Linked DNA regions of Caenorhabditis elegans. The protein of the gene in region 2 purifies or fractionates together with the protein of the main gene of each other region. This does not show direct contact. Each region holds a gene or a part of one and is shown on either strand. Other genes may lie near its edges. The genes, in order: cls-2 and hcp-2.

Region 1 (5,962 bases), on a different chromosome or scaffold from region 2:
CGGATTGGCTCAGCGAGTCCGTGGATGTCGAAGTACGTGAGCTTGAGGGTCATATTGAACGAAGTTGAGTGAATACTGACTGAAAACAAACACTTGAAATGTGGAAACTGGTTTTTTTTGTTTTCAAGAGAGAATTAAGAAAAGAAATCGAATGTGAGAAGTGGACAAATAGAACGGCTTTTATAGTTCGTGGAGGTACTAGGGGTGCTAGACGAAACAAGCAAGAGAGAGCACTGGAATGAAAGAGAAAGACAACGTGGCCAGCACGAAAATGATGACAAAAAGTTGTTAAGATGATTACAATTGTTCTGGATGACGTTGAAATGCCAGAGAAGTTTCTAGAAAATTAACAATAGTTTAGTCTTGGCGCCGGTAGCAGATCAGAAAAAACACTGAAACGAGATTACTGTCAACAAAACGTGATGGCTAATTGAATACCGAAAGTTTTTTACCTATTGTTCCAGATATATATTGGCCTGAACGAAAAAACGGTTTTCAACTTATACACAAGAAATAAATTTAAGAAATATTCATATAAAAAATAAATAAGAAAAGAAAATATATAAAAATAAAAATAAGAAATACGGGGGTCGAAAATCATAAGGGACATAAGTCGGGGGAAATTATGCTAAAAGGAGCATAGAGAAAGTGTGCAATACCCGCTCTTGACAAATAAAATTATATTACAAAGTGAAGGGATGAGAGAAAAGGGACGATAAGGTTTTACGGGGGAAATTTGGGATACGAATACGGGGGAATTATGGGCTACATTGCAACGACGAATCATACGTGCGAATGTGAACTGGACGACATTGCCCGATTGACGTAGACTTGGACAAGGTTCAGCTTTCCAGACGACAGATTTTGAAGATGTGGCTCCATTGTCTTCATTCCCAACTTGTTCACCATCGCGACCAGACAGTAGACAGCAGTTTTCCGAACTGCAGACGATGGGGAATCGTAAGACTGCAAAGTAAAAATTTCATTAATGAATTGCGATGTTTGATAAATAGTTACCTTGATCACACATGGCGCCAAATCATCAACCACTGGGCTCAATTCGTCGGCTTGGAGACCTTCAAACAATCTGGTCATCATTTTCAGAACCAAGCTTGCTTTGGGTTCTTGAGCTTTCTCCTGCAAATACTGACAAACAGATTACCTAAATGTAAAAATTCTTGAACTTACCTCATTCAAAATGAGCTGCGAGATGTTAACCACCTTAGCCAGTGGAAGGTGGGTTGCCAGCGTTTTCAAGCAGTCATCAGCGGTCACGTTCATCGTTCCGTCTTGTGAGTTGACAGCAGCATCCAAAACTTTACAGATGGCCATTTCCGTAGAGTCGAACAAGCGCGATGCTTGCGAAGTGCACATCTTTGTCAAAACGCGCAGAGCTACTTTCTTGTTGGCGTCTGATTCGCTTTTGGAGAGCACATCGAAGACAGCGATCAACAGCTTGGCGAAGTTTTGCTCCCAAAGAGTGAATGAGCCTTCACACAACATTGTCTGGATCGACAAAAGTCCTTCGTATTGCTGAGCTCCCATGTCACCAGAGATCTGGGCCAGCTTCGACGCCACGTACTTGCTCTGCTCCGACGTATCGTCAATAAGATGCGTTGTTGAGTTGAGCTGAAAAATAATTTGAAGAAAGAATAGGAGGATGAAACTGACGGTCATTATTGAGCCAAAATGTAGAAATGATTTTTAACGTCTACGAAAAATATACTTTGCTGAACTACGCGCCTTACGTGGCCACTGAAACGAAGAAAGAGGGGGGGGGGGGGGGGGGTTCGAAATCCTCTGACCACTTGTCATTTAAAACCATTTTCTTTTAAATATAATGCTGTTAAATACCTTTAATCGGTCGAATGACTCATTGAAGCTGAGTTCCTCGTCTCTGTGCTGTGAATTCATTTCCGAAGACAGAGGACGAAGTGGTTCCGCATCGACTCGTTTGAAACCCGACGAAATGGCTCTTGTGCTAGGCGATTTTACTGGAGTCATATCAAGATTCCTCGACACGACGAAATCTTCTATCTGCGCAGCTGTAGTAGAAATCGTGGCTCGCACACAGGCCTCTTCAGAAACAGCATCTTGTTGTGGAACGTGTTGATCATGTCCGTGAGACTGAAGAACTTTGTATGCCCAATCGCGATAGTCGGGGTTGAAGTCGTTGAAAAGTGCAGAGAAGTCGGCGTTGTTCAATGCGAAGAGTGAGCAGAGTACTTTCTCGCCATGCTGAAAAATGCATATTGCTAAAATAAAGAGAGAGCTATAATTACCGGGGTGATCAACTGTTCATTCCTCTGATCTGCCATCCACGAAAACATCTTGAGAATGGTGGCCTTCATCTCTTTAGTGTTGAACGACGATCCTCGCTCCATATACTTCCCAAGAAGTTCATTGAGATATTCAAGAAGGACCACGCGACTCTTCGGGGACATTAGATGAATTGGATCGCACACCAGCTCGCATGTTGATTTCAATTGCAGGGTTGGATCAAACGATGACAGAATACAGCTGATGGTTGTGGAAATTTGCTTCTTACTGTTCAACGTCATCTCTGCTCCTTTCTTTGCAAACAGCTTTCCAAGGCCAAGCTTGAGCCAATCACTGAGACGGGGATGATGGGTTTTGACAAACGAACTGATTGATTCCAGCACAATCTGAAATAAAATGTTGCAATAAAAATTATTAAATTAAAATGTTCTACCTGGTTCGTGGATTCTCCGAGCAATCTGTTAAGAACCGCGCCCAGGCTTTTGATTTCGGCGTTGCTGAGATTTGGCTCCGAAACAATGCCTGCAAGCATTTTAATTCCTTCTCGCTTCTCATTTGCAGAGGTCGACGAACAAGCACGAATCACTTCTTCCACTCTGGAAGTATCAAGTGCACTTTTTTGTGGTGTTGCCTTCTGTGGGGTTGGACGTTTTGGCAAGAGGAACTCATCATCATCGTTGCGTGATGGTTGCCTCAAGCTCTCCTTTGCCGTGTTCATTGCCTTCTGCAGTTTCGTAGCTTCCTCGGCTGACAGAGAAGAAACGAACGAGTTAGAACCAAGATTCGACTTGACTCGTTGCATTTCGGCTGGAAATGCCTCTGTGGCGGATGGACGGCGTGGCGGTGATCCATTTCGAGAACCAGGCTGAGACGTTGGGACACTTCCACGAGCACGAAGATTGGAAGAGGTACGAGAACCAAGCGCTCCAACTGTTGGTCTAGCAAACTTCGAACCTCCTGGAGAGGTGTCGATTTTTGAAAGTGTCCTAGTGGTCATCGGGCGAATGTTTGGAGTTCTGGACACAGATGTTGCCATTCGCGTCACCTGCTTTGTATCGATGGCAGAAGCACTTCTTTGAGCAAGAAACTCTGTAAACGAAATAATTGGATTGATATGTTGAACTTTAAACTCACTTGAAGAAATGTTCGGTGCATTTCTGATTCCACCAATACTGCCCGCAGACAATTTCGACCGAAATGGTGCAGTTCCGCGTTCACTATTGATGCTCGTGCTTGATGATGCAGCATCAGAGGCACGCAACATCTTTTGTTTCGATGAGTCGACTGAAGCAAATAGTTTGTCTGCCTCAGTGGAGTGTAGTGCATCGAGCTTGCTGAATGCTTTTCGTCCGGCAACTCTGGTCTCTGGATCAGCATCGCAAATTGCTGCCTTGATCAACTCGCCAATTTGTGGTAGAACTGTCCTCTTGATCTTTTCGTTCCAATGTTCGAGGACGATTTCCAGCAATGCGCACAGCTGTCTCCGTTGATTTTTATCCTTCGATGTGGAGTAGGAGGCAATGCAAGTGAAAATCTGTTTTGTTTGAATAAATTCAACAATAAACAGAGTTAACACCGCTCCACACGTTGCCATCACCTTTGTGCTTACAGCGACTTGGGCAAACGCTGATGGAAGACATCTCTCGGCAATTTGACGAACATCCGTCCCGAACCGTTTGAATAGGAATCCACAGGTGATCGCAGCTTCTCGCAGGATTTGCGATCGGAGATCTTTCACTGAGAGGTCCAGGCAGTCGGTAAGCCGGACAAGCTGGCTCAAAAGCTGCTCCCTTCCAATAACGTCTTCTCCGTGAACCACCATTGAGCGAATCTGTTTCAACTTATTCATTCGTTTGTTCCAGTCTTCCTGGCCTTTCGACAGAGTTTCAATTGTCTGGTCCAACTTTTCCTTGAAGTCTGAGGGCGACGAGATTTCCTGAAAAACAAATAAGTAAGACCAGACCATACGCGAGAACAAAACTTACCATTTTGGGCACTTCCTCGAACGACTTCAAAAAGTCGTCCTTGCTGACGATACATGTCCCACCCGGAGTCGATCGGCTGATGACACGGCTCATCTGGAAAATATAGATATTGTGAAAGAAAGCAAAAATGGAGAGAATGAGAAAATCCAACAGTTTACAAACACAGAACAAACATTCAGTATCGAGCGCAAATTGTGAAATAGCCCGGCAAGGATTTGTCATTACTAGAGCGCAATTGCATTAATTTCGAAAACGGTGAGGAGGGCACATTTTACTTGGATCATTTCGATAAATTCAAACAGACATTCAATCTTGAAAAATGATTCACACCAAAGACTCAAGGAAATCGTATTCGAAGAAAATAATGAATTCCAAAGCTGAGAAAGGAGAATATAAGAAAAAAGCGCGAAGAACGTTTCAATTTTCAATGAAAAAATTTTGCATATCCAAATGAAAATTCTAGAAATGATATTTAAAAATTTTTAGGCTAAAAATAGTGCTGACGAGAGAGTAGAGAGACGAGACATCAAAGTGTTAAAGGCACAGCCTCGGGTCTCGAGACGAAAACGCGTCCGGCGCCAGATTCAAACATTAAAGGATTAAAAAAAAACCGATTTTTTTCACCGATTTCGCTCGTTTCTTCTGTAAAATATATATCAGAAACGTTACAGGAAATATATTTACTAAAATAAATGTTTTTCTAAAATACACATGTGTATTGCTTCTGTCTGTAAAGTGCAACTCTGTCTGTTTGATATAAATTTTTGTGAATGCGCCAGAGTGCTGAGAAAATTATAACTGCGAATTTTAAATTACGAGATTCTTGAATGGCTTCTATTGTACGATTATTTCATAATCATGGTTGGTTTTTCTACAGGCAGAAAACAATCAATTCATTTCAGCTGTACTATCATATTCTTCACTTTCACTACCAAAAACTGATCGTTTTCGGAAAAAGTCGCCTATATTTTCCCATTCCGACAGAAACTTCTCGGCTGTCTCGGTTGAATAGCGCTTGCCGAGCGTTTAGCTGTCTGCGTCTCTAACCGTAGCGATGTGTCTCCTCCACGTGGTCGATTGGTTTGTTGCGCGAACCTTCTAGAACAATCCGCTCACTTCCCGAAGACCTCAATTCTCATACAAAAGAGTTTCCCGCCCCCGTAATCGAGGTTTCTCACCAAAATTTGCAATCATATCGACATTTTTGACACGTTAAACCTGTCCTTCATTGTTTCCGCGTTGTTGTGTGTTTATCTCCGTTTCAATTTTCAATTTTTTTAGTTGAAATTGCATTGCGTCTTTCTCTTCTGTTTCTCCTTTTCCATGTGTAAAGTCATATGCTTTATTTTTTTTTGCAGAAATGACACAACTCACCAACTTCAGCGAATCGTTCTCGAATCAAAATTCGAATCTTCACCAGCCCTACAACTTCAACTCACATCAGCCACCAGAAGAAAATCATTATTATGTACGAGAACCAAATGGAAAACGCCCGTTTCCCGTTGAATTTGAGTTGGTAAGTGACTCATCGTTAAATTTCGATTTTATCATACAATTTTTAACTAGATTTAAGAACTTTGAATAAAAAACTAGTCTGAGATGTTATGAACAATTAAAGCACGTGCAAAGCTTAGATTCATTCGAAAAAATCTTTCGACATCATAAACTAGGTGGGATGAAGCCATCACGTGTTGATT
Region 2 (6,664 bases):
CTCCGTCTTGTCGCCTGGGATGTTGTCGAGTCTGAGCTTTTCAGAGTCCGATAGCTTCAGCGGCGGGATCCTTGGCGGTTTAGAGGTTCGTTCCAGTTGGCGCTTTGCTTCCAGGTCTCTGCACGGGTGCGTGTTTGACTTGATCGCTGCCAAGTACATCTGTTGCGTCGAGAGCTTATATTCTTCTTTCAAAGGGAGAACTCTGCATTCTTGGTAGATGTGGTCCGTCGGCGTGTCCTTCGTTAGTCCAACTCATAACTCCAATCTTGTTGCCGTTGTTATTTTGTTGTGGCCGTCTTGTCGAAGGAAGGGGAGGAGCCTAGTCAACAAGGTAGATCAAAAATAAATTATGAGAAATTTGTGCGATCGTATTTTTTCGATAATATCACGGTCAATTTTTTAAATGATAATCAAACAAACTCAATATAATCAATGATCTGTATTTTTTCGGATTTAATTAATCAATTCAATGCATCAAAGAAGAAGACTATGTAATATAAAAGCACAATCATCTAAATTTAAATTCACATAAAGACATTTATTCTGACCCGGAAAGACATTCACAGTTGAGTAGTGCGCGGAAATACGTAATGGCACACAAAAAGTAAAAATAAATAAAATACGAGTTCAAATTATTGCTGGTTGCAGTTTGAGCGGTTCGCCTTCTTCGACGGCGTTTCAACTGCAGTTGTTTCTTGAAGATGATCATCTGGATGGAGTACCGTAGATGACGTGATAGCATCTGGCGAATGGGAAAACTCTTCTTGGAACGAATCCTGAGCATCTTCGAACTTGTCCTCAACAACAGGCTCTGGTGGCTCCGCATGAGAATGTTCACGACTCAGCGGCTTCACTCTGAAATATCAAAGATTTACATATCTGAGTTTTGTCGAAAATCATGGAGACTTACCCAAGTCTGGCCTGTTGAAGGAGTCCCATTACTTTTGGTGGTTTCTTGATTCCTTTCAATTGCTTTATCTCAGATTGAAGCTTCGAGATGGCATCCTTCAGCTCTCGTTCAACGTCGTCGAAATCGTCACACACCTTCTCGAGTCGTACAATCTCCTTCTGGGCTCTTCCCAGTTGCTCCTCAAGTTCCGCTATTTTGGATAGTGCTTCTTCTAGAGCCGCTGATTGCTCGTTCTTCTCTTCCTGGATCACAGTTATATCATGCTGAGCTTGCTGCTCCACTTCAACTGCGTATTTGTCCGATGCAACCAGCTTCTCATTCATTTGTTGAAGTTGTACTTGTAACTGAGACAACGATTCAGTCAGTGTACCGACATTCATGGCTTGGGTCTTCCAAACATTCGATGCTTCAAGGCGCTCCTCGAACTGCTGAGACATCGCTTCGATTCGAGCTTGGAGAGTGATAATCTCTTTTTCTTTCTGAGCAATCATTTGTTCAGCATGACCAAGCTGCTCTTTGTCTGCGGAAACAGTTTGGTTGAACTCGTTTTGAAGTGATGTCCTCTGAAAAGAAATAAATTATGTTCTGTTCGAAATTCGAAAGAATATACCTCTGTCTCAAAGTCTTGCTTCAGCTTTACCATTGCCTCATTCGCCTCAGATATCTGAATGTCTTGTTGATGTTTGACGTCTTCTACATCTTGAAGAGCCTTCTGTGCAAAGGAGATGGAAGCTTCAAGCTCTTCGATACGAGCAGCAAGTTCATTTGACTGGGAACGGGATGTTTCCGTGGAATGTTGAGCCGATTTGAGCTCGTCGAGAGTCAATTGAAGCTGCTCCTGCTGATCACGATGTTTCGATACTTGAGCGATTAGCTGAAAAACAAGTTTAATTCGACTGAAATCTTAAGGAATTTAAACCTCTTCTTCTCTTCTCTGAACTTTAGCTTCGGATACTTCTAGGCTCTTTTTCAGTTCTTCCATCCCTTCAAGAGCATCCCCAAGCTTCGCATTCAGTTCATCAACCATTTCCTTGTTCATTATCTTAGCTCCAATCAGTTCTTCCTTAACATTTTCCACTTGGGATTCTCCGACGACGAGTTTATGTTGAAGCTCTTCTAGTTGAGATGCCAACGCCACCATATCCCTCTTGTGACTAGAATTTAGTTTTTCATTCAGAGATTCGAGAACTTCAGCATTTTGTTTGAAATTTTGAAGGTCCAATTGAAGTTGTTTTATCTCTTCCACAGAGCTTTGTTGAAGATCTTGAGCAGACTTTTCCGTATCTTCAATTTTCAACTTCAGCGTATCCACCAGTCTCAGAAGACCATCTTTTTCTTGAACTGCAGCATCAACCACTGATCGAGAAACTTCTTGTGATGCCGACAACTCCAGTTGAAGGGCTTCGAAAGATTCTTTTAAAACCTCACTCTCCATCACTTTCTGACGAGCATTACTGACTTCTATCTTGAGCATCTCCAGAGAGACCTGCAATTCTTGATTCGTACTTTCTGCAGAGTGCAATTTTTCCTTCAAATCATCAATCAATGATTCCTGTTGATTCTTCAGATCTAGAATTTGTTCTTCAGAGGAGGCCAAATCAGAGCGAAGTTTTTCGTTGGTTTCCTCTGCTTGCCGAATTTTTCTCAAATAATCTTCAAGGATGTGTTTTTGGTCTGCGGCGGAATCTGACTGCACTCGAACTTCAGCTTGGAGAGAATCAATAGAGGATCTCAGCTCAATAACTTCTGCTTCCGTCGACATCAACTTGCTCTGAATCTGGTACTTTTCTTCTTGATGTCGAGCCGATTCCTGGTGCATGACTTCAGAAGTCTCGCGAAGAGATACAAGTTGCTGAATTTGTTCCTCCTTCAATTGATCACGAAGCTTCTGACAATCTTCTTGAACAATTTCTAGCTTCTTGAGCTGTGAACTTCCAGTTTTTACAGCTTCTTCTTGTGCCAACTCCAATTCTTTAATTCTTATTTCCGCCTCTTCCAATTCAACTGATGTTTCATGTTGAATTTCTTCTAGTTCCAGTTGAAGACTGCAAACTTTATCCACCGAAGCCTTATATTCTCTTCGCATTGTTTCCAACTCAGAGACTGTGTTTTCAAGAGCAAGCGAATACTCATTTTGTGTAGACTCCGAATCCATTAGAAGTTTATCGCTGGCCTCAGAATCTTGACGAAGAGACTCAATGGTAGTCAATAGTTCACTGATTCGAACATCTTTATCTTCCGCTTTACGATGTGCATCGTTTAGCTGACCTTCCATGTCCACCAATTTTGCATTTTCGACGCGAAGGCTATTGATCTGAAATAAGAAATATAGTGCAATTATTTCTAAACTCGAACTACGAACCTGTTCCAGGAGTTCACCGTTTTTCTGAACAGCTTCCCCAATTTCTGACGTGGCTTTCTCTTTCACTTCTACGAGCTCTGACTGAAGTTCAAGCATTTTTGAAGTCAAATTGCAACAGTCAATTTTGAGATCATCGAGAGTCTTCTGAAGTTCTTCCAGTTCAGTAGTATCATTCTTCGGTTGAAGAGCAGACATTTCATTCTCAAGACGATGGATTTCATCCAACATCAGTTTACGAACAATTTCATGTTCCGACTTCAGAGTTTCAATTTCAGAGTTGGAGAACACCTAAGAAAAAATATAATTAATTTTCAGGCAAGATATTAACTGCATTACCTCTTTGTTGATCGTTGTCTCCAATTCCACATACTTCATCTGTAGTGTCTCAATGTCTTCCTTAGCCTTTTGCAGTTGTTCATCAGCCTCCTCTTTCATTTCTTGCAACTCCACAAACTTTTTTTCGTAGTCCTCAATGCTGTGTTGCATGACATCAACCTTCAGTGCTTTGTCAGTAAGCTCTTCACAACGACTCTTCAACTCTTCCAACTGATGTTCAAACTGTAGTTTCTCTCCGTTCGGCTCCGTTAATTTCATCTCGAGCTCTTCAATCCGTTTCTCAAGAAGTTGTTCCAGAGTTTTTGCAGCTTCGCGCTCAGATTTCGTCTTTTTTACAGCCTCCTCCACTTGTTGCATGAGCATTTTCTCTTCAACTTCACGAGCTTCTTTAATTTCAACAAGAGTTTGTCTATGTTTCTCTCCAAGAAGTTCAATTTTCAATTGAAGATCTTTAACGACTTCATCATGCTCGATATTTTTCTCCAGCATTTCGAATTCATATCTGAAATAAACAATTTAACAATGGGAATAAATTTAAATTAATCTTACAAAGAATATTCAATTCTCGATTTTTCATGCTGAGATGTTGACTGAACTGACTCTACAGAAGTTGACTGCACAACCTCACTCTCGATTGGAATTTTCGAACGAAGTGGGGAAGGAGCAGTTGGTGTACTTTCGTCTCCAACTTGTGTCTGGCTCCGAAGTGGTGTTGACGGAGTATTCTCTAGATCTTGAATCGTTGCTTGTTGGAAGAAGTCGTTCGCCAGTGTGACGTCACCATCAGTCGCAAAACTCTCGTCAGCAATGCTACAGTCTTTGCTGATGCTGTCTTCACTGTAAACCTTCGTTTGTTCCAAATTAGGATCGACATCATGAGCTGAGGAAGCTCTTGGCGGTTCACAGACACTGTTATCATCAACGGAGGTATTTGGCGGGGCGAGTGTGGAAAAATTGGAGATTGAAGAATCATCAAGAATAGAGTCGGAGGTACTGGTAGACGAATGGCGCGAGTCTGGCTCAATGCGAGTTTCTTCAAGATTTCCATCGGCCAAATTCATAGCAGAACGCCCGAAAAACCTTTTCGATTCCTTTCCGAGACGCGATTTCGGTGTCGCAGCAGAAAACGGAGATTCAAGCTGTTGTCGCTTCTGAAATTGTTTTGCTTTTGATAAATACAAAAATATTTAATTTACCTTCCCAGTTGCAGGCTTGTTTTCATCGCCGTCGTTTGTACTTTCCTCCATATTGAATTTGATCAAATTCGTCTGAGAATTTACGATAATGAGTTGGGGAATTGCACTATTGAAAAAAACAGTCCACGTTTAACGAAATAAAACGAAGTGAATCTGGAACTTCACGAGAAAATAATAATTTTCAACAAAACAATACAAAAACTGGAGCAATCGTTTAAAATTTCGCGCCGTTTCAATAGGGCGAGTTTGTATTTGCAATGCAAATTCGAATATATTCGATCCAATCGAACTCTATATTTTGCTTAATTTTTTTTGCGGAAGGAATTTATTTTTAAACTTTGTTCGTTTCCTTATTTTTAGTAAGTATTAGTGAATTCTTCATAATATTATCACAAAAACGTTAGCAATATATTTTAAATATTGTTAAATATCCATCGAACCACTGAAATAACGTGCGCAGGCTTTCAGATATTTGGGAATGAATATCGATAAGGATGTTTCAGCTCTGCTATGTACGGCGAAAAAATATGTGACGCAGAAAGAATTCAACAGGTATAATTATTAAATCTTATCTTAACTTTTTTATTTTACATTTTCAGACAAAAAATGAAATTCTTGTTAGATGACATAACTAAATTGTTATCGAAATCTTTCGTTTCCCGAATCGAGCAGTTAGACGAAAATGAGTTCATGGAAAAGATGTGAGTTGGAAAATGTAGAAGATGATGATTATATTTATGTTTTTTCAGAATGATCCTTCAGAGTATAACATTTACATTACATTTAATAACAGAGAAGCAGGAACTTTCTTCAGGTAGAAAATACAATTTAGTATTTGTATTAATATATTCGTTCCAGAGGAAAAAATAAGATTATTTCAATCAGTGATTGCGTCGATGTGTGCCTTTGAGGATGAAGAATTGGCAAAATGTTTTGACGTTAGCAAGAATTATATTCAATAATTCAATGTTTTTTATTTATTTCAGCGAATTCTATCAGTACTGATGATCTCTGTGACGAAACAAGACCCGAGAGAAACTATTTATTTCCTGCAAGGATTACTGGAAGTTGTTAAATATTGTGACGTCGAACCTTCGTCTTCTCTGCCACAATTAATCACTCCTGAAATTGCTTCAGCTATTTCATTAGGTGCCTCAGGATTTTTTAGATATCATTTGAAGTGGAATATCATTTCAACTTTATTCGGAGAAAACGCAGGAGAATGCGTTCATTTCGATGAATTGGTTCTGTTTTGGCCTCACTGCCGATCACAGTTGGAAGACAAACTGAAAAATGATTGCTCGATGACCGAAAATTGCTTGCGTGCTGGATTGACAATCTTAAAATATAAAAAACTGCACAATTCTATTCTTGATCAGGCCCTGTTCATTGATGAACTGTTTGCCACATTTAACTCATTAACTGCGAAGAAGTCGACCAATCACATGACGTTTCCAAAGCTATTGAATGTAATTTCATTTTTATACTTCGAATGTATAATTTATCAATTTCAGGAGATACAACACTTTCTACAGGATCATGGCAAAGTTTTGATTATGCATAAAGAACTTCGACAAAAACCAGTTCAATGGCTCATAATTTATTTAGAGTTAATCGATGATGCAAATGACAAGTTTGGACTACTAGAAAACTTTTCCTTGTTGTTGTTAGATTTATCGACAAACCATGATATACATGAGTTTCCTGCGAGGCTATGTATGACAGCAAGTGAGATTTGCATGGTGAGTTAATTAGAATATTAAACAATTAAATCTCGGAATTGTTACAGCGGCGAATCAAACACTCTATTCAAAGTACACACACTGATTGCCTTGCTGATTACCTGGACATATTGGCGTC

Evidence for each region.
Region 1: the proteins of hcp-2 (region 2) and cls-2 purify together in Caenorhabditis elegans (affinity purification with mass spectrometry, with the first as the bait; one study listed by BioGRID). This does not show direct contact.

The regions. Positions count from the first base shown.
Region 1 is NC_003281.10:9,053,448-9,059,409, reverse strand, and holds cls-2 (TOG domain-containing protein), read right to left. Parts: upstream 4,363-5,962; 5' UTR 4,359-4,362; coding exon 4,266-4,358; intron 4,217-4,265; coding exon 3,415-4,216; intron 3,370-3,414; coding exon 2,714-3,369; intron 2,667-2,713; coding exon 2,283-2,666; intron 2,239-2,282; coding exon 1,855-2,238; intron 1,630-1,854; coding exon 1,189-1,629; intron 1,147-1,188; coding exon 1,018-1,146; intron 967-1,017; coding exon 784-966; 3' UTR 515-783; downstream 1-514. Other genes in the region: gst-1 (Glutathione S-transferase P), read right to left, coding at 1-53; R107.5 (uncharacterized protein), read left to right, coding at 5,626-5,781. UniProt on the Caenorhabditis elegans protein: Probable microtubule plus-end tracking protein that promotes the stabilization of dynamic microtubules. Required for the formation of mitotic and meiotic spindles. Specifically promotes the polymerization of kinetochore-bound microtubules.
Region 2 is NC_003283.11:9,644,073-9,650,736, reverse strand, and holds hcp-2 (HoloCentric chromosome binding Protein), read right to left. Parts: upstream 4,879-6,664; 5' UTR 4,856-4,878; coding exon 4,805-4,855; intron 4,760-4,804; coding exon 4,158-4,759; intron 4,111-4,157; coding exon 3,609-4,110; intron 3,561-3,608; coding exon 3,273-3,560; intron 3,225-3,272; coding exon 1,830-3,224; intron 1,785-1,829; coding exon 1,521-1,784; intron 1,474-1,520; coding exon 911-1,473; intron 856-910; coding exon 633-855; 3' UTR 526-632; downstream 1-525. Other genes in the region: atl-1 (Serine/threonine-protein kinase ATR), read left to right, coding at 5,283-5,356, 5,404-5,505, 5,554-5,618, 5,663-5,742, 5,791-6,273, 6,319-6,546, 6,594-6,664.